Macaca fascicularis: one gene and its partner. The protein of the gene in region 2 interacts with the protein of the main gene of each other region in a pairwise test. Links are inferred from orthologs where the notes say so. Each region holds a gene or a part of one and is shown on either strand. Other genes may lie near its edges.

The links.
Region 1: the proteins of NUDT3 (region 2) and RPLP1 interact in a two-hybrid assay, tested with the Homo sapiens proteins (2 studies listed by BioGRID and IntAct). The link is inferred for Macaca fascicularis from reciprocal best matches to the Homo sapiens genes NUDT3 and RPLP1.

Annotation. Positions count from the first base shown.
Region 1 is NC_088381.1:46,245,230-46,256,160, forward strand, and holds RPLP1 (large ribosomal subunit protein P1), read left to right. Parts: upstream 1-4,553; 5' UTR 4,554-4,683; coding exon 4,684-4,755; intron 4,756-5,395; coding exon 5,396-5,470; intron 5,471-6,600; coding exon 6,601-6,718; intron 6,719-6,858; coding exon 6,859-6,938; 3' UTR 6,939-6,977; downstream 6,978-10,931. UniProt on the Homo sapiens protein: Plays an important role in the elongation step of protein synthesis.
Region 2 is NC_088378.1:137,406,534-137,416,591, reverse strand, and holds the end of NUDT3 (diphosphoinositol polyphosphate phosphohydrolase 1), read right to left. Parts: intron 6,098-10,058; coding exon 5,919-6,097; 3' UTR 4,111-5,918; downstream 1-4,110. UniProt on the Homo sapiens protein: Cleaves a beta-phosphate from the diphosphate groups in PP-InsP5 (diphosphoinositol pentakisphosphate) and [PP]2-InsP4 (bisdiphosphoinositol tetrakisphosphate), suggesting that it may play a role in signal transduction.

The DNA of each region.
Region 1 (10,931 bases), on a different chromosome or scaffold from region 2:
CAAGTGTTTGTCTTAGATGATTAAGGAAGAATATATCTAGATCATGCCTGATTTTTTTTTGTGACTTTTCCAGCCCTGGTCTGAATTTCTTAAGGTTTTATAAACAAATGCTGCTATTTATTAGCTGCAAGAATGCACTTTAGAACTATTTGACAATTCAAACTTTCAAAATAAAGATGTAAATGACTGGCCAATAATAACCATTTTAGGAAGGTGTTTTGAATTTTGTATGTATATATTCACTTTCTGACATTTAGATATGCCAAAAGGATTAAAATCAAAAGCACTAAGAATTACGTAGCTGTGTGATGGCCGTTCATTCAGCACGTCCTCCCAGCATCTGGCACAGTGGCCTGCATTCACCTGGCACTCATTGTTTGTGGGACAAATTGAAAGATAGCACTAAAAAATACAAGATAATATGTTAAATGGACAATGCCTTTTTTATGTGACAACCATAATTATCTACATATTAAGTATGACTTCTAGACATTTAAACAAAAAACATTGGGGACAACATAAATTAGAAAAAATACTGTCGAAACTATGGTGAAATATCCCATTGCATGGGTGAACACACATTTTTACTTGAATTTAATTTGGATTTGAGGCTGATTTTTTTTTTTTTTTTTTTTTTTGAGGTGGAGTTTCGCTCTTGTTGCCCAGGCTGGAGTGCAATGGCACGATCTTGGCTCACCGCAACCTCTGTCTCCTGGGTCCAGGCAATTCTTCTGCCTTTTGTATTAGTAGATTATTCTGCTAATTCTGTATTTTTAGTAGAGACAGGGTTTCTTCATGTTGGTCAGACTGGTCTCGAACTCCCAATCTCAGCCTCCTGCCTCGGCCTCCCAAAGTGCTGGGATTACAGATGTGAGTCACCATGCCCGACCACTTTTTTTTTTTTTTTTAACTAAAATGATAGTTTAATATTTTGTTATTCATAATAAAAGTGTGGTATTAGTCCTTGCCAAAAGCTGATTCAAAAGTTAAGGGAGAAGATAAAATGCACTAGTCACTCACAGTATAGTAGTAAACAATGTCATATATGTGTTTGTGTGTGTGTGTGTTGAGTTTTTTTTTGGGGGGGAGGGGATGGATTTTTGCTTTTACTGCCCAGGCTGGAGTGCAATGGTGTGATTTCAGCCACCACAACCTCCGCGTCCCAGGTTCAAGCAATTCTGCCTCAGCCTCCCCAGTAGCTGAGATTACAGGCATCTGCCACCAGGCCCAGTTAATTTTGTATTTTTAGTAGAGACAGGGTTTCTCCATGTTGGTCAGGCTGGTCTCAAACTCCCAACCTCAGGTGATAAGCCCTTCTCAGCTTCCCAAACTGCTGGGATTACAGGCGTGAGCCAACACACCTGGCCTATATGTGTGTTTTTAGAATGCTTCAGAACACTAAACGTTAAATTGCTATTTTAGTAGATACAGAATTTATTTTTTGATTTTCTTGTTTTTTAATTTTTTTTCAGAAACAGGGTCTTGCTCTGTTGCACAGGCTGAAATGCAGAAGTGCAATCATGACTCACTATAACCTCAAACTCCTGGACTCAAGTGATCCTTCTGCCTCAGCCCCCCAAGTAGTTGGGACCACAGGTGCTCAGCACCATGCCCAGCTAATTAAAAAATTTTTTATTTTTGTAGAGATGGGGTCTTGCTGTGTTGTCCAGGCTGGCTTTTTTCTTACTTTTTTGAGATGGGATCTCATTCTGTCACCCAGAAGGGAGTGCAATGACATGATCACAGCTCACTGTAGTCTCAGCCTCCCAGGCTCAAGCAATCCTCTCAGCCTCTTGAGTAGCTGCAACTACAGGCAAATGCCGGCACATCTGGCTAATTTTTTATTTTTGTAGAGATGGGGCCTTGCTCTGTGGCCTTGTCTAGTCTCAAACTCCTGACCTCATGCAATCCTCCCAACCTGGCCTCCCAAAGTGCTAGGATTACAGGCATGAGTCACTACCCAGCCTGCTTTTTAAATTATTATTTAACAGAGACAGCCTGGGCATGGTGGCTCACACCTGTAATCCCAGCACTACAGGATGGCTTGAGCTCAGTTCGAGACCAGCCTGAGCAACATGCTGAAATCCCATCCCTACAATTTAAAAATTAGCCATGCATGGCGGCACATACCTGTAGTCCCACCTACAGGGGAGGCTGAGGTGGGAGGATTGCCTGAGCCTGGGAGGCAGAGGTTGCAGTGAGCTGTGATGGCGCCACTGTGCTCCAGCCTGGGCAATGGAATGAGACCCTAGCTCAAAAAAAAAAAAAAAAAAAAAAAACCACAAAGTAATAGGGACTGGGTCTCACTATGTTGCCCCAGGCTGGTCTTGAACTCCTGGGCTCAAGCAATCCTCCCGCCTTGGCCTCCCCAAAGTACTTGAATTGCAGGCATGAGCCACCATGCCCTGTCCCAACCCACTTGAAAAAAAAAAAAAAAAAATTTAGCCAGACGCAGTGGTTCACGCCTGTAATCCCAGCACTTTGGGAAGCCAAGATGGGCGAATCACCTGAGGTTAGGAGTTTGAGACCAGCCTGGCCAACATGGTGAAACCCCATTTCTATTAAAAATACAAAAAATTAGCCAGGCGTGGTGGCACGCGACTGTAATCCAAGCTACTCTGGAGGCTGTGGCAGGAGAATAGCTTGAACCTGGGAGGCAGAGGTTGCAGTGAGCCGAGATCGCGCCATTGCACTCCAGCCTGGGGAACGAGCAAAACTCCGTCTCAGGAAAAAAAAAATTTTAAATGGCTTATTGCATAGTATTTTCAAAATATTAATGGGAAATTTTTACTATGATAGGAGAATATGGGGCAGTGGAATTTGTCTGAAGTAACTGTTGAATGCACTAAGTCCTTCAACAACACAAAAGGAAATGCATGAGTACTGACATTTTGCTTAGCTACTTCTCTTTAATAGCTGTGGTTAGTGCTTACTGTTTGATACCCTGTAAAAGTGCGTATACGTGGAGAAAACGATTATTTCCTCAGTGACCACAAAGTGCCACTTGCCAACCAGATCAGTTTTTTTTTGTTTGTTTGAGACGGAGTTTTGCTCTTGTTGCCCAAGCTGGAATGCAATGGCACGATCTCGGCTCACTGCAACCTCCGCCTCTCGGGTTCAAGCGATTCTCCTGCCTCAGCTTCCCTAGCAGCTGGTATTACAGGCACCCGCCACCACGCCCAGCTATTTTTTTGTTTTTTAAGTAGAGACGAGGTTTCACTATGTTGGCCAGGCTGGTCTCGAACTCCTGACCTCAGGCGATCCACCCGCCTCAGCCTCCCAAACTGCTGGAATTGCAGGCATGAGCCATCGCGCCCGGCAGATCAGTTTTTTAAGTACACTGCTGGAGGTACACAGTATTTTGGACTGACTCATTGTAGCTTTGGAAATGTTTGGATTTTTAAATAGCTTTAAGCTTTCTTGACCAAAATTCCACTATAATGGCTTCTTAGATTTGGATGAAAACTCAGTAGCTTTATTTTTAAAAAGTTTGATAGCTTTATAAAAACTTTTTTAAAAAAATTCGGGATATGAAACTATTTGTTTGTAGTTAAGATTGACCCAAATAGGACTCTAGATTGGTGGATTCCAACAGAAATGTTTCATCAGAGATGATTATTAAATAATGGGATGGACTAAATGAAGGTTCCCGAAAAAAAAAAAATCTTGAACTAACTTTCCAGTAAACTAAGCAAATTCCACGAGCAATGTAAAGGTGACCATTTTTGAAGGTAGGAATTTAAATTGGGTTCAGATAACAAATAACAGGTTGTATACAATTTACCCATAATCCCCCTTCCCCGAAGCACTAGGCGGTGAAGTTAGGCTTCTGGATTCCAACTCCACGCTCCACCGCGCGGAACTATGCAACCTTGGGTTAGTTACCAGGTCTAAGGCTTCTAGATTCCAACTCCACGCTCCACCGCGCGGTAACTACACTATCTTGGGCTAGTTATCGGCTCTAAGACTTAATTTTGCCATCTGCAAGATGGAGATAACATCCAACTCCTGCTGTGTGAGGATTACGTGAATCCTTGTAGAATGTGGCTCAGTTACTGGGATATAGTAAGCGCTCCACGGCTACTGCTATCATAATGCCGTTAGTTTGCTTGTCCTCCTACATCTACCTACATCTATCTATCTCACCCAAGGCCCAGCGCTAAGCAGCGACGTCCATGGTGGGACGCAGCCTTTACCCTCAGGGTCAGCGCCGGCTGGGAAGGCCGCGACCTAACTGGGAGATTACGAACAGTGTCACCACGGCCACAGCGCAGCTCCTGCCAAGTCAAGCAGCTCATGGAACCAACGGCGGCGAAGTCCGAATACCTACGCAACCCTATCCTAAAAGTGTTTTTAACCGTCTCAAGTCCTATAATTTAAGAAAATAAAGTGAGACCGTAACTGTTGGCGCTGAGAAACTTTCTCAACAGGAAGAACGAAGCAGGCGCAGCGCGCAGGCGTCTTCAATCGGTCCTGGGTCCGCCTCTTCCGCCCGGTGCGGGCGCCGATTGGTCCGCGTGGTCACATAAGAGACTGCGCATAGGCGCAAGAACCTCTTTCCTCAGCTGTCGCGAAGGTGCTCGGTCCTTCCGAGAAAGCTAAGGCCGCGTTGGAGTGAGGGCCTCACTTCATCCGGCGACTAGCACCGCGTCCGGCAGCGCCAGCCCCACACTTGCCCGCGCTATGGCCTCCGTCTCCGAGCTCGCCTGCATCTACTCGGCCCTCATTCTGCATGACGATGAGGTGACCGTCACGGTGAGTGCGGGCGCGGGTCGGCGGCCTGGCTGCCTGTGGGCGGCGACTCCCGCCTCTCCATGCGGTTCCGGGCTCCAGGCCGTTGGGCCCAGCACTTCCGGCCGGGGCCAGGCCGCGAAGACAGGCGGCATGGGGCGGGCGCTCCTGGGGGCTGGGGCCTCTCTCGCAGAGCGGGACCTGGGCCCCCGGGACCACGTGCGGGCCCGGGGGGCGTGGAGTGCGCTTGAGGCTGGGCTCTCCGGCTCCAAGATCCTTCGTGTAGAAAAGCTTTTCCGCAGCGCTTGGGCACCCTGACCCGCGCCTCGTCTCTCTCAGGGACACTTACTTGGAACTCTTTTGGTATAATTGCCTTGAATTCCCCGGGTCGTGGAGGATAGCGCCCCAGCTCGGCTCCACCTTCCAGGTCCTAACTTAAAAATAGCCGCGTGACTCAGGCAAGTCCCAGCCCGTGAAACAGCAGTGATGGGCTCGCCTCATTGCAGGGCGCCTGGCACACATCTCTTTTGCTTGTGATAGAATATTTGAGCTGGTTAAACATGTCCTGTACACTTTTTATTGAGTGACTTGCCTTTGACTTGCAGCGTTTTGGAGATACTACATACGCTATGTTTTGATGGATTGACGTTTTTATTTGTTGTAGGAGGATAAGATCAATGCCCTCATTAAAGCAGCCGGTGTAAATGTTGAACCTTTTTGGCCTGGCTTGTTTGCAAAGGTAAGGTGATGGTGGCAAAGTGATGTGGTAAAGCCTGCTGATTTACGAGGGCAGGTGTACATGCTGAAGTACCTCCAGCAGTGCCATAAGGCCCCACATGCCGCTGGATCTCCTAGGTGTATTTGGTTGCATTTATATCTCTAGGAGCTAAGAAGATTTCAGTTTCTCAAGTCTTATGTTTCCTTATCAGACTCTGGTTTCCCCTTTTGCTCTGAAACCATGGTCAAAAAAAAAAAAAATCTGAATCAGGTCATTGATTCCCAAAAAGGATCACCCGGGAGATAGGTACTACCCATGTTAAAGTTGCAAGCAAATTCTTGCATTAAACCTGTGGTTTAATGGACATTTGGGTTTAGCGGACTTTATTGACACAGTAGGTACTATGTGTTGGGATATAAAAGACTAATAAAGACGAGATTCCTGGTCATGGAGCTTGCACTGGCTATTTTCCATTGTACAGGTTACTTAATCTCTGGCAAGTTAAGCTGATAGCATCTAACTCCGGGGTTGTGTCCTCTAAAGAGTTTTGAAAGATTGTAAACATTGTATCTATGTCATCTTTAAGTCCTATGTTTAGAAGACTGAAAATTTGAGTTCACTGTTCAGAGGAGACATGGAATTGTGCAAAGAATATTCATTTGAGTGTTTCAGGAAGTTTGGATTATTTTTTTGCCAACATGTTATTTGTAAAAGGAGGGGAAATCAGCTACCTCAGGAGGTTCTTAACATATAGGAAAGTAATTATCAGATTCAAAGCTGAACGATTGAAAGCTGAACAGTAGTGTGTTGCCCTGTCTAACCTAAGTTTTTGCTGTTAGCAAAGAAAAGCCAGTGTCTAGGGTATTGATTCCAGGGCCTTCCACTAATAACAAAATCCCAGGATGTTCCATCTCTTATATAAATGTATTTGCATATAACCTATGCACATCCTCCTGTATACTTTGGAAGTCTACATGTTTGGTATGCATGCGTTTCCACTGTTGAAACCATGGATGTGGAACCCACTGTATATAGTGTTAGGGGTTGATCACTGTAACCTGGAAGGGGGGATACTTTTCGTTTTTGGTGCGTGAGTGCTGTGTAACAAGGACAGAACCGGGCATTTACCTATGCATGCACATGTATTGCAGGCCCTGGCCAATGTCAACATTGGGAGCCTCATCTGCAATGTAGGGGCTGGTGGACCTGCTCCAGCAGCTGGTGCTGCACCAGCAGGAGGTCCTGCCCCCTCCACTGCTGCTGCTCCAGGTAGGAAACATGGAGTTTCTAGTATTGGGAGGAGTGTAGAGATTTAAAAAATATATATAGTATTATAGGTAAAATTGCCATTAATTTTCCACAAGCAGATGATGTATGGAAATCCTAACACCTGACTGTTTTTTTTCTAGCTGAGGAGAAGAAAGTGGAAGCAAAGAAAGAAGAATCGGAGGAATCTGATGATGACATGGGCTTTGGTCTTTTTGACTAAATCTCTTTTATAACGTGTTCAATAAAAAGCTGAACTTTACTGCTGTTGGTCTTGCCCATAGCTTGGGAATGCGCTCTGCAAAAATGGTATCAGTTTTGTAATGTTGGCTTTCAACCTATTCTGCCATGACAGGCTGGATTTTCCCTGCCACCGTTGCCAGATGTGAGATTATACACAATCCTGATGCTAACAAGAAGGCACCTCATGGTACAGTGTTAAAAACTGCACTGGGGTGTCAGGAGGAAAGATCAGAGCAGATGCTTGCTTTGTCCAGGTTACCTGTATAAACTTGAGGATTATAAGGTGTGTCCCCTCCACTGGGGGCAGAGGGTAATACAGACCAGCATTAGAAAGCCTCCTGGGTAATTACCCTATACAACCCTGCCTAATAATGAACTTTGACCTATGCTGAATTGACTGCTACATCCCAAGGTTGTAAAGAAACTAAGACCTAGCTGTGTAATGTCTCACCAAATGCTTGGGTAACACTGAAGGAATGCAGAAAGTTTACTTCATAGTTTATTAAGGTCCCCAGTTACACAAAGTGGATAAAACAAGATTCAAACCTGGGTTCCAAAAGCTAAGAGCTTTTTTTGTTTGCCAATTAATAATACCATGAGGCCGGGCGCGGTGGCTCAAGCCTGTAATCCCAGCACTTTGGGAGGCCGAGACGGGCGGATCACAAGGTCAGGAGATCGAGACCATCCTGGCTAACACAGTGAAACCCCACGTCTCTACTAAAAAATACAAAAAACTAGCCGGGCACTCCAGCCTGGGTGACAGAGCGAGACTCCGTCTCAAAAAAAAAAAAAAAAAAAATACCATGAATGGAAATTTCGACTTTTCAGGCTTGGATTATATAATAAACCATGGGTATTGTGTATTCAGAGCAGCTAATGACATGCCAGGCACATGAATGAGTCTTATCCTTATCTGCATTAGCATTTAATAGATGAAGACATTCAGTGATGAAAAGCATGACTTCTAGCCGGGGCTGTCATGTCAATGTGAAAAAGACCATTTGTATAAGTTACTGCAACTACTTGGGGAAAATGGCAGTTCTACTTCAAGAGAAACTACATGTGGACATGAGGATACATGCCTGGGAATGTTCAAAGCAACACTTTGAGCAAAGACATTAAGTATATGCATCTGATAAGAGAAATATAAAAGATGGGATGGTGAACAATTTAGGATCTTGAGTAAGGTGCAGTTAACAATGGGTAGGAGTATGTAGGTGTCAGTATTAAAGAGTTTTAAGTTTTTTGAGAGGGGTTCTAGGCTGGAATGCATTGGTGCAGTCATGGCTTACTGCAGCTTCAAACTCCCAGGCTCAAATCAATCATCCCACTTCAGCCACCCCCAGGTGGCTGGGACTACAGGCATGCCACCATGCCTGGCTAATTTTTTGTAGACAAACCTCAACCTCCTGGTGTCAAGCGATCTGCACGCCTTGACCTCCCAAAGTGCTGGGATTGCAAGTATGAGCCATCATGCCTGGCTAGTTTTGTGTTTTTAATATATGGCTTGAGCATCCCTTACCCAAAAAACAAAACATCAACATGACACTCAAAGGAAATGTTCATTGGAACGTTTTGGATTTTCGGGTTAGGAATGCCCAACCTGTATATTAAAACCATAGGCCAGGCATGGTGGTTCATGCCTGTGATTCCTGCACTTTGGGAGGCTGACGCAGGAGGATCACTTAAATCCATGCCCGCCTCTAGAAGAAATTTTTTAAAAAATCAGTGCAGCGCGGTGGTATTCGCCTGTGGCTTCAGTAAGCCATGTTTGTACCATTATACTCGAGACTGGGTGACAGGGCGGGACCCTGTCTAAAATATCTAAGATCATAAAGTATATATAAAAACCTTAGGTATATGCAAATATTCCAAAGTCTGAAAAAAAATTAGAAATCTGAAACAAATGGTCCCAAGCATTTTGGATAAGGGATGCTCAGCCTGTACTAAAGGGCAGTTGTGAACTAGTGAGGATGGTGTCACGAGACAAAGATAAGTGATAGCCTATATCCACATGTTAAGTGCCTGCTTTTCCTTCACCCATTAACAGCTAACATTAGCTAGGACTGCTCGTCTGTGTGGCATCTCATTCTTCACAACAGTCCCATGACAGGATGACCCCATGTTGGGGATGGGGAAGTGGAAGCTCTCAGGTTACAAACTAGTAAGTGGGTGGGTGAACTAGATTAAAACCCCACTCTGAGTCCCTGTTCTCTTAACATCATGACCCATGCTTCTGGTCGTGTCTCCTACCTGCATCAGCTTCCTCATCTGTAATGACTGTAGGGTTCTGAAGAGGTAACAGTAGGAATTCTTTGTGCTGAGTGAACAAGTGTCAGAGGAAGGAATACTAACACTTCACCAAGCTGAAGAATGGGTTAAAGAGAATACTAACAAGATATGGGAAAAGGACAGCATCTAGAAGAGCAGACATTAAGTGGTAAGCTAGGGATATTGTAAATATCAAACTCAGCTGTCCAAACAATCCAATCAACTAAAATGTTCACTAGCAAGACTCCAATGTTAACAGTCTGTAAGTGCATGGCCCAGGCTTCTCCCCCCACTCAGACTGCATTCTCTCCCTCTCCCTTGGAGGAAGAGAAGAACCATCATCAATGGCAAATGACAGTTGCAGCAAAGCAACACCAAGAGCCAACCTCACGCTCAGCAGAGAATGCTGTCCTGCCACCTCCTCATGGTTTCCAGTGCTGTACACATTGAGAGAAACTTCTCTAGTAAGGAACTACAGAATTGATGCCTGAAATTATACTCTTGGTCTAGCTTTTTTTTTCTTTTTTTTTTTTTTCTCAATTTATTTGAGACAGGGTCTCACTGTTGCCCAGGCTGGAGTGCAGTGGCATGGTCATAGCTCACTGCAGCCTTTCTTGGGCTAAGTGATCCTCCCGCCTCAGCCTCCTGAGTGGCTGGGACTGTAGGCATGAGCCACCCTGCCTGGCATGGCCCAGCTTTTTAAGAAATCTTAATATAGCTAAAAATCTTTCTAAAGAACAATTTGAAAATCAAATTAGAAGACCCACATACATACATAGAACTACTAACTTAATTCATCCGATACTGAATGAAGTCCTCTTTGTTCCATCTGCTTTCTGGTTCTTCCGAGCCTCCTTTTTTCTTTTTCTTTTCAGAAATGGGAATATCTACTTCATATTGGGGAATGAAAGAGGTAAGTGAACATTCAATACTTGTTACTTCCCTTTTGCATACAGTACAAGGAACACGGTTGCCATCCCTAGTTCCCCAAATCTCCAGGTCTAATAGGTCCAAGCCTCATGCTCCTCAAACCGCCTACCCCCCATTCTGTTTGTTTGTTTTTTGTTTTGTTTTGTTTTGTTTGAGACAGAGTCTCACTCTGTTTTCCAGGCCTGAGTGCAGTGGCACGATCTCGGCTCACTGCAGCCTCCGCCTCCAAGCGATATTCCTGCCTCAGCTTCCTGAGTAGCTGGGATTATAGGCACGCACCACCACACCTGACTAATTTTTGTATTTTCAGTAGAGACAGGGTTTCACCATATCGGTCAGGCTGGTCTCGAACTCCTGACCTCATGATCCGCCCGCCTCAGCCTCCCAAAGTGCTAGGATTACAAGGGTGAGCCGCTGCACCCGGCCCCCCATTCTTATCAATCAGGCAGGTTTGGTTTCTCATATTTCATACTTCTGATTGTTCACCAAGCATACATGTTACTTTGCTTACATTTCCATTGCTCTCAGCATTGTGTTCACATCTCCTGTAGCCACTGGTCCATGTATCCAGGTCCATGGCTGGCCAACTCACACCCCTTGAGAAGTCTATCAGCAGGAGCCCAGATTAGGCATGAAGGGCTCTCATGTTCTGGAGAACTGTAGGAACAGACATGCTCACAGACAAACCATCTAAACAACTTCGAAAACCTGTATTGTCACGGAATGTGTTGCACAATAGAATAAGTAAAAATATCCAAAAGCTCCTGCCAAT
Region 2 (10,058 bases):
GCCCGCCTCGGCCTCCCAAAGTGCTGGGATTACAGGCGTGAGCCACCGCGCCCGGCCCCGTAATCTTACTTTTTTGGCTAAAAGCACTTTCTTCAGCATTCTGAGTTAACATGGGTTCCCTATAAGCTCCCCTCCCCAGGTGGACAGTCTTATTTTCTAAGACAAGCTCAAACTCACCAAATTATCACCGTAAACAAAGCTTCAGGGAAGAGACATAACTCTTACTTCAAAAGCTTCAGGTCAGAGACAGCCAAAATCACATGATTGCTAGCCTCAGCTCAAGTAGTGTGCCCAAATCATCACAAAATGGGATTCTCTTCCTATTAATTTTTTTTTTTTTTTTTTGAGACAGAGTCTTGCTCTGTCGCCTAGGCTGGAGTGCAGTGGCGGGATCTCGGCTCACTGCAACATCTGCCTCCCAGGTTCAAGCGATTCTCCTGCCTCAGCCTCCCGAGTAGCTGGGACTATAGGAGTGTGTCACCACGCCTGGCTAATTTTGCTATTTTTAGTAGAGACGGGGTTTCACCATACTGGTCAGGCTGGTCTTGAACTCCTGACCTCGTGATCCACCCGCCTTGGCCTCCCAAAGTGCTGGGATTACAGGCGTGAACCACCGTGCCTGGTCCTCCATTTATTAATTTATAAGGGGACTAGGAGGACAAACTATTTGATTAATTTGAAGGTGAGAGGTATCATTTTCTCAGATGCTCCAACTAGGCTTCTCACATCCCTCAAAGGTTATCAGCTAAAGACAAGAGTTTCTGAGGCTAATGCAAAAACATGGTCCAATGTGAAACCACCCTTTTAGAGGCAGGGTTTGTGAAAGGCTGCTGGCCTCCAAAGGACAGCATGCCTAAACTCTCTGGGCTCCCAGGACCTGTGGTGATCTCAAGTCAACCTGATGCACAGATAACAGTATCTTTTAGGGATTGCAGCCAATGCTCCCCAATTCACTTTTTTTTGTTTTAATACCTTAAAATATCAAGTGTTTCATTTTTAGGTGATATTCCAAGTGACACAGAAACACAGCTCTCCTGGATGGTGAAGTCTCCGCTGCAAAACTCACCAAACAGCACAGAGGATGACTCTGGGGTCCTCTCCCACTTGCTCCAAGTTAGGTGGGTGCCCTGATGAAGGCAAGGCTGAGTCACTAACATGCACAGCTCCACATCCTGGAAGCCTCTGCAGCCTCGAGGAGACAGGCTCTATCCAACAGGACTCCGAATAAATGCCTGCCGCCTCAACTGGGCAGTCTGACCTCTTCCACCGTCTTTAAGAAACAGAAGGGCCATCTGCATTATTTAATCACCGTTCAATAATGTCCTCCCTCCCCATAGCTGCTTGAGTTAACTGTCTCACAAGTGTCCTATGTTTTGTAAAGATGAGGGTTATTTTCTGAAATGCAGATGAGACTAGGATAAAGCTGTATTATCAATTACAGCCAACTCTCATTTCTCTTAAAGCAAAAATTCATCCCACTGTGATTTCTCCAGGTATTTCCTTTAATTCTAAATCCACCCTTGATATTAGAGAATATTAAAATCACACAGTTGTGGCAAAAATCACAATGTGGCTATTAAATCCTTTTTTGTGAACTAAAAAATGTGCATGTGGCTTAGGCTCAGCTGTTTTGTTTTGTTTTTTTTTTAAAGATGAGGATGGGGACTCCAACAAAGGCATTAAGAAAGTACTAGATGAAATGAGAAATAGGTGAAGGATAACATGTGAAACGTACACTCAGGTCTAACAAGTACCTATTACTTCTCTGGTTAAGAAGGTTTAGCAGGAGCCCCCAATGAGCACTGTATGTAGAGAAAAGGGAAGGAGCAGGGGGAGGAACGGATTGGCACAGAATTTTTTTCTTCTTTTAAAAACCACAGAGGGTGACTTTTTTCTTCTAAGCAAGCAAGCCTAAGAGACAATACATGGGCTGGCTCCTAATATCAAAACAAAATATTTCTTTGCCACAAAGGAACTTGACTATGTAGCAACACATTTACAAAACTACTGCAAAACACTCCCAGAGGGCAGTGACCTACTCTGCTCCCCAGAGGCTGCAAGAAGCAAGGCCTCAAGTGCCTCACGTTCCATGGGGCTGTGCAGCGCAATGCAGAAGGCGGAAATCCTGCTGTGACACCACCCTCGAGACCTTCTGCAGCCTGAGAGGCAGTGATACTCCCACACCCTTTGATCCTTCCAGATGGCTCAGCCTAGACCTAGCAGTGAGAGAGCCCTCTCCATGCAGGGCGGATGGAGTGGTGGACACTTGCAAAAACAAAACAGTCAATTCACTAACTGTTCCATCCTGTTATATTTGCAATGAGGAAAATTAAGATTCCTGTTTCATGGGCTGCACTGTTTCTGGAAGGCTACAGAAAATCTAACATGGTTGACACCTCCTGGTAGCCCTTCTGTCCTCCTACACACACACACACACACACACACACATACACACACACACACACACACATACACATATATATATACACACAGAGAGAGACAGAAGAGAGGAGAAAATCCTGGTCCAAAAGACCACATGACCTTACTAGTGTTTCCCCAATGATTGTAATTTATAAACTAAAAATTTTTTAAAATCCACTGCTATCTTTTTCTGTCCTGAGTTTGGTAGACTTTAATGGATGCTCTAGCAATAACCAGAATCTAGGACATGCAAATTCACTGTGAGCAAGAGGCTAGGGATCTGCCCTAAACATAGGAATCTGTTTCTACCAAGTCTGAATGAGGTCAGCACTGGTAGAATTAATGACAAATCAATATCAATGAAATATTCTGCAAACAGGGTAGTTTTTGTGCTTTCTTTTGATTCTTTTCTTTGGGGAGATAAAGGTATTGCAACCATGGGTCTAACTAATGTATCACTAAAGGACTGTGATGATATTCTCAGTAAAGACGGCCATGGTGTTTACAGTGCCAGGGAGGGAAAATCCCCGATCATCAGAATCCCAATGCAACAGAAAACAGCACCAGTTTCAACAATTCTGATGTTGGACAAAGCCTCTTTTTGTCAGTTAAGAAAGCATAAGCACAGTGTCTCAGTTAATTGCATTAACAGGAATCCATTCATGTCACTGAAAAATACTTGTTGGCACAGTTCACTTTCCTGACCCAAAGACACCAACAACAATCAAAACTGCCCTTTCAGGGTAGTATATTATTACACTAGCCCAGTCAAAACACACTCAGACCATTAACAAATGTATACATTACTGTTAGCACTGCAGGTCTGTTTTATTTTCTAATTTATTTATTGACACAGAGTCTCGATCTGTCACCTAGGCTGGAGTGCAGTGGCGTGATCTTGACTCACTGCAACCTCCGCCTCCCAGGAAGGTTTAAGTGATTCTCATGCCTCAGCCTCCCAAGTAGCTGGGATTACAGGCGTGCACCATCACGTCCAGCTAATTTTTGTATTTGAGTAGAGACAGGGTTTTGCCATGTTGGCCAGGCTGGTCTCAAACTCCTGTCCTCAAGCGACCCACCTGCCTTGGCCTCCCAAAGTGCTGGGATTACAGGTGTGAACCACTATGCCCGGCCCTGCAGTTCCTTTTTTTAAAGAGTATTGACTGTTTTCCTGCAAAGGACTTTCAAATCCATACCATAAAGGTAGTATTTATCTGGAAGAATGTGTTTCTTGAATTCCACTTAGCACTTGGTTAAATCTACTTTATTTTGCTCTTTATTTGAACAGAACTTTAGAATGCTCTAGGTCAGGATAAGAAACAGTGTGTTCGTTTTTAAGAAGGATATGTGAATAGGAAGTTGGCATTCAGACTCAAGTTCCACAGTGGTGTTCTTCTCCAATGGGACCTCTCCTTGGGGATATAATTCCTTTCCCAGAGGTATCATGGTATCCCAAGAATACAACTGCTCTTTGGCTCTGTGTTTCAAGATTGGGAGAGAGAATGTAAACTAAGAGTACACAGCAATTTTTTTTTCTTTTTTGAGATGGAGTTTCACTCTTGTTGCCCAGGCAGGACGACAGTGGTGCAATCTCGGCTCACTGCAACCTCTGCCTCCCGGGTTCAAGCGATTATCTCGCCTCAGTCTCACAAGTAGCTAGGATTATAGGCGCCCACCACGCCCAGTTAATTTTTATATTTTTAGTAGAGACAGGGGTTTCACTATGTTGGCCAGGCTGGTCTCAAACCTCTGACCTCAGATGATCCGCCTGCCTTGGCCTCCCAAAGTGCTGGGATTACAGGTGTGAGCCACCATGCCTGGTGAGTAGACAACAAAATTTAAAGTTCACCAACTGATGTTCCCAAAAGTGCTGAACACTAAATGACACAGGCCTATGAGGTACATACATTTCTTTTAGTAGGAGGGAAAAGTAAAAGTTTTTCAAAGTTTGAGTGCTTTATTAGAATTTTTAAATAAGGAGAACTACGATTTTAATTTCACATCTTGGCTAAGGAGATGACACTGGGGTACAGAGATAATCTCTTGTTCTAAGCCAGGGATCAGTCAGTGTACTCCTCCCTATCCCTCAATCTCAAGACCCTCTTACTTCCGAACTAAACAACACAATTGGCAAATGAAGCCAGCACGAAACCTGTATCAAAAAACAACAAAACTCTGCAGTGAGCCAGTGTATTATGTAACCACTGTAATAAGTGATTATGTGGCTTCCCATATGGACCTTTCATATCCTGGTGGGAGATGGGAGACCAGTTTAATAGCTCTGAGCATGCTTCATGGTGCAATCACAAGTGTCGTGCCATTACAAAGACAAGCAAGCAGGTGAATTTCCCCAGTGTACTTTTCAGGAACACGGTTACCCAGTTCGGGGATGGGACTACATTGATGCACCTGCAAAGTACAGTTGGATGCTTCAGAGCACAAGGACAATATCCAGGTCAGCACGGTGTAAGGCATATACGGACACAAAGAGAGGTCGTTGTCGGTAATAAGTAGCATTACGGAAAAGATTCCAAACCAGCAGGACAGAAATGGTACCTGATGCTCCAGTTTTTTAGATAAGCAATCCCAAGAATCCAGTTCAAACCCTACTGTCAACATGTGGGGCAGAATTCAATTTCTATCATTGTTTTTACAGATCTGGGCTGAGACATTTGTTCCTAGCTTGGTTAAAAAAATAATAATAAAATAAAGGTTTCTTCCTGTTTCTTTCTTGGTATGGAAATACAGCTTAAAGAAGGAAAGGCCATGAGTCCTGGGAGCACTATGAAGGTAGCTAAACACTTCCCATACCTACAGTCAACGACTGGGAAATAGAGAGAGGACAGGGCAACCTGCCCAGCCACTAGCATCAAAAACGAAAAGGTATATTAATTGTGAGGCTCTCAATTCCAGAAATGCCCAAATTAAAAGAGAAAAAAATCTTGAAAAATTAAACAAATTTCTCTTTCTACAAGTCATTTATTTACATATTATATGTCCGATATATAATGTGTAGATAAATGTATCCTGCAGTGGAAGTGACCACTCTACTGAACTGTACAGCATATTATAGGACAAATTCTTGAAAGATTTCATCTTATACTGGTATCTTTTAATAAAAAAAAATTAAAAATCAAAGAAAACGTCTGGCCAGGGCTAGGATAAGACAAACAGGAACACTTCAGAATCCAAGGCAGGGGAAGGCTGTTGGCCTCTCTTCAGAGGACTGCAGGGGTAGGAAGAGGGAGGGACAGATCATGCACAAAAGTACTTACAAATTACACACCCAACCCCCACCCCACAATAAAAAGAGAAGAAAAAGCCCCATCAGTTAACACCAAACAGCAACATTATCAATACACCCTTTCTTTGCTGCCCACCATGCCTTATTTGAAAGAAGAGGCCTGTGAGGAGAAGTGGAAAGAGCCAGGGTGAGAGGGAAGATTTGCATTTCAGTCTAGTTTCCAATTTCCATTTCTCTTACAGGAAGTCTTCAGTCATCTGATGCCTGACATCGAGCTCTGAGCAGAAACCGAGTATGTGGTGGCCACGACTGGGGTGCCATTGTTGGCTGAGTAGCCTTGCCTCAATGTTTCAAAATATGATGCCTGCACGGGTTTGTGATACTGCAGCACTTTTATGGCATCTTCTATTTTAAACCATTCCCTCTTCCTTCCTGTGGAGGCAGAGAGAAAAGAAACTAGTACAAGAGCAATAAGGTTTCTGAGCCTAGAACTTTTGAGAAAATGTAGAAAACGTTAAAGCAATGTTTCTTAATACTTTTTTTCCTTACAAAAGTAACTCAAGCGCACTTCGTATGCTTCAAATATTATACAAATGTCTAATGTAGAAAATAGGCGAGAAACCTGAAAACTGAAGAGCTAAGAGTAATTGTGTAAAACCTGCCCTCCAGAGAGAACTATGGCTAGTGTTTTCCTCCTGCCCTCCTGGGTCTCTGAGCTTTCCTTGCTTGCACATACATAGGGATCAAAGCCCAGCAGCATCCCCATCTCTTGTAAAAAACTGACATGAGGGCCTGACGAGGTGGCTCATGCCTATAATCCCAGCACTTTGGGAGGCTAAGGTGGGCAGATCGCTTGAGCCCAGGAGTTTGAGACCAGCCTGAGCAACATGGCAAACTCGTCTCTACAAAAAATACAAAAATTAGCTGGGCATGGTGGCACAAGCCTGTAGTTCCAGCTACCCAGGAGGCTGAGGTGGGAGGATCACCCTAGCCCGGGAAGTTGAGGCTGCAGTGAGCTGTGATTGCGCCACTGCACTCCGGCAGGGTGACAGAGTGACACCCTGATCCAAGCAGGGGAAAAAAGAAAATCAACACAAACATCAGCTTCCAGAATTACTAGGATGGCTGGTTTGTAATCACTAATTTATTTAAAAGTTTTCTTTTAAGAGTGAATGTACTGACATAATAGAAAAAAAATTTTTACATATATATATATATAGAGAGAGAGAGAGAGAGAGAGAGAGAGAGACAGAGTCCTGCTCTGTCGCCCAGGCTGGAGTGCAGTGGCCTCCCGGGTTCATGTCATTCTCCTGCCTCAGCCTCCCGAGTAGCTGGGACTGCAGGCGCTCGTCACCACTCCTGGCTAATTTTTTGTATTTTTAGTAGAAATGGGGTTTCACCATGTTAGCCAGGATGGTCTCGATCTCCTGACCTCGTGATTTGTCCACCTCGGCCTCCCAAAGTGCTGGGATTATAGGCGTGAGCCACCACCCCCAGCCAGAAAATATTTTTTAAAATAAGAAAAAACAATCTCAATACAATCACACTTTTATTTTTCAGTTTACTTTCTTACTCTTTTCTAGTCCACGCTTTAAAATCCTTTATATTTTTTCTCTTATAAAAGTAATAGGTACCCATAATTTTGTAAACCAGAGAAGACCACTCTCAATACCCTAGCACAATTGCCTTTTTTGCATATACTTGAAAAAGAAACAATCTTGAGATAACTAAAATTGGATCATGCTTTCAGGTGCTCCGAATCCTGACCAGCTCTGCTAGAGTGTTATGGTCAGGAACAAGGACTCTGAAGCCAAAGTGCTGGGTTCCAATCACATAAATGGCTCCAATGAGCTGTGCAGCCTCAGATAGCTGTGCTCCTGCTCCATTTTCCTCATCTATAAAACAGACAATAAATAGGGCCTATCTCACAAGTTTGTTGTGACGATTAGTATGCAAAGCACCTGAAGAGTACCTGGCTGCTAAAAGTATGTACTACTGAATTTGCTTTTTAATTTTTGTTACTGGTTCTTTTTTTCTTCACATTCTTTTTTCTTTTCTTTTTTCTTTTTTTTTCCCCAGAGATAGGATCTCAGGCTGGATTGCAGTGGTATGATCATAGTTCACTGCAAACTCAAGCTCCCAGACACGAGGAATCTTCCTGCCCTAGCCTTCCAAGTAGCTAGGACTACAGGCACACGCCACACCTGCTTCTTCTTCTTTTTTTTTTTTTGGTGTAAATGAGGTCTCAAATTCCTGGCCTCAAGTGATCCTCCTGCCTTAGCCTCCCAAAGTACTTGGAATTACAGGCATGAGCCACCACGCCTATCCTACGTCACACTGTTTCTTAAGCAATCTATGTTATGAAAAAAATATGACATTGCCTTGCTAGGAAGGTTAAGGCAGGACTGCTTGAGTCCAGGAGTTTGAGGCTGCAGTGGGCTGTGATCCACTGTACTCCAGTCTGGACAACAGAGTGAGACCCTGTCTTTTTTTGGTCAGACATTTATGGCTGCGTTATATCTTAATATCTAGAATGGATGTACTATCATTCATTTAACCATTTCCACATCACTGGACATCAATTGTCTGTGATTATTATTATTTTTGAGACAGAGTCTCAGTCTGTCACCCAGGCTGGAGTGCAGCAATGTGATCCTGGCTCACTGCAACCTCTGCCTCCCAGGCTCAAGCGATTCTCATGCCTCAGCCTCCCAAGTGGCTGGGATTACAGGCACCCACAACCATGCCCAGCTAATTTTTGTTTGTTTATTTATTGAGACGGAGTCTCACTCTGTCATGCAGGCTGGAGTGCAGTGGCATTAGCTCATTGCAATCTCTGCCTCCCAGGTTCAAGCAATTCTCCTGCCTCAGTCCCCAAGTAGCTGGGACTACAGGTGTACACAACCACGACCAGCTAATTTTTGTATTTTTAGTAGAGATGGGGTTTCAGTATGTTGGCCAGGCTGGTCTCAAACTCCTGACCTTAAGTGATTTGCCTGCCTCAGCCTTCCAAAGTGCTGGGATTACAGGCATGAGCCACCCTGCCCAGTGATTTTAATTATTATAAATAATCCTGTTTTTAAAAAATGTTCCCCATTTTTTTTCTTTTTAACCATCTAGGGAAAGATATCTAGCACAAGGACTACAAAAATAGAGCTTTTGAACTTTCAAGGGCTCCTGATTTATACTGCAAAAGTGCTTTACAGAAAGGCGACACTGATCCCGAGTCCTGCTTGTGTCTGTCAGGATGTCAGTCTCACTACATCCCCGCCAATATTAGCTTTTCTTTAACATTGACTTTTTTTTTTTTTTTTTTTTTTTTGAGACAGTCTTTATCTGTTGCCCGAGCTGGAGTGCATTGGCATACTCTTGGCTCACTGCAACCCCCACCTCCCGGGTTCAAGCGATTCTCCTGCCTCAGCTTCCTGAGTAGCTGAAATTACAGGTGTGTGCCACCACGCCTGGCTAATTTTTGCATTTTCAGTAGAGACGGGGTTTCACCACATTGGCCAGGCTGGTCTCGAACTCCTGACCTCAAGTGATTTGCCTTTCTCAGCCTTCCAAAGTGCTGGGATTACAAGCGTGAGCCACTGCACCAGGTGGTGTTAAACTATGGTGTTTAACAGCTGTATAACATTCCATCAGACACATGTCATTCATTGATTTGTCATTCACTGAGTTATACATTTAAGATGCAATTTTTAACCGGTAAGAAAAATGGTAGTAAGATCATCTGAAGGAAGGCTCCATAGGCTTGTCATATTTTAGATTATTTCATTAGGGTCAATTATCAGAAGTGGGAGTACAAGGTGAAAGGTTTGTTTGAATATTAATAGAGCAACGGTACCTAAAAAAATGAGTATCCCAAGTGTGTGACTCCTGCCTGACAGAGTGCTCTGAGGATAGGGCCACACCACACATCCATTGCTGTGTCCTTTTCTGGCGCTAGCACAGCTGTCAGGGAGTCTGTTTTCAGCATATCCACAATGAATTTATTTCCTTGAGCACCCTGCATTATTACTAGATACAAAGCCATCAAGAGCCAAAGGGCTACGAACTGCCCAGAGTAACAATGTGAGGGGCATGGCAGCAAGGAAAACACTAACATTAAAGGGAGAATGTTGGCAAGTAAATTTTATCTGTCTGCCAATTTGTAACGGAAATTAGTGTTCTACTTTCTAGAATATACTTTCCTTCAGAGGTAAATAATCAAACCGTGAACCAACCTTTGCACCACCACAGTTTATAGTTCAAAAGATGTAAACATAATGGCCATCTGAGATAAAAGAAAATGACTCCTTTGGGAGAAAGCTGGGTGTACCTAAAGAGTGCACTCAGCACCCTTTTATAAAAGTTCATAAGCCGGGCGCGGCGGCTCACGCCTGTAATCCCA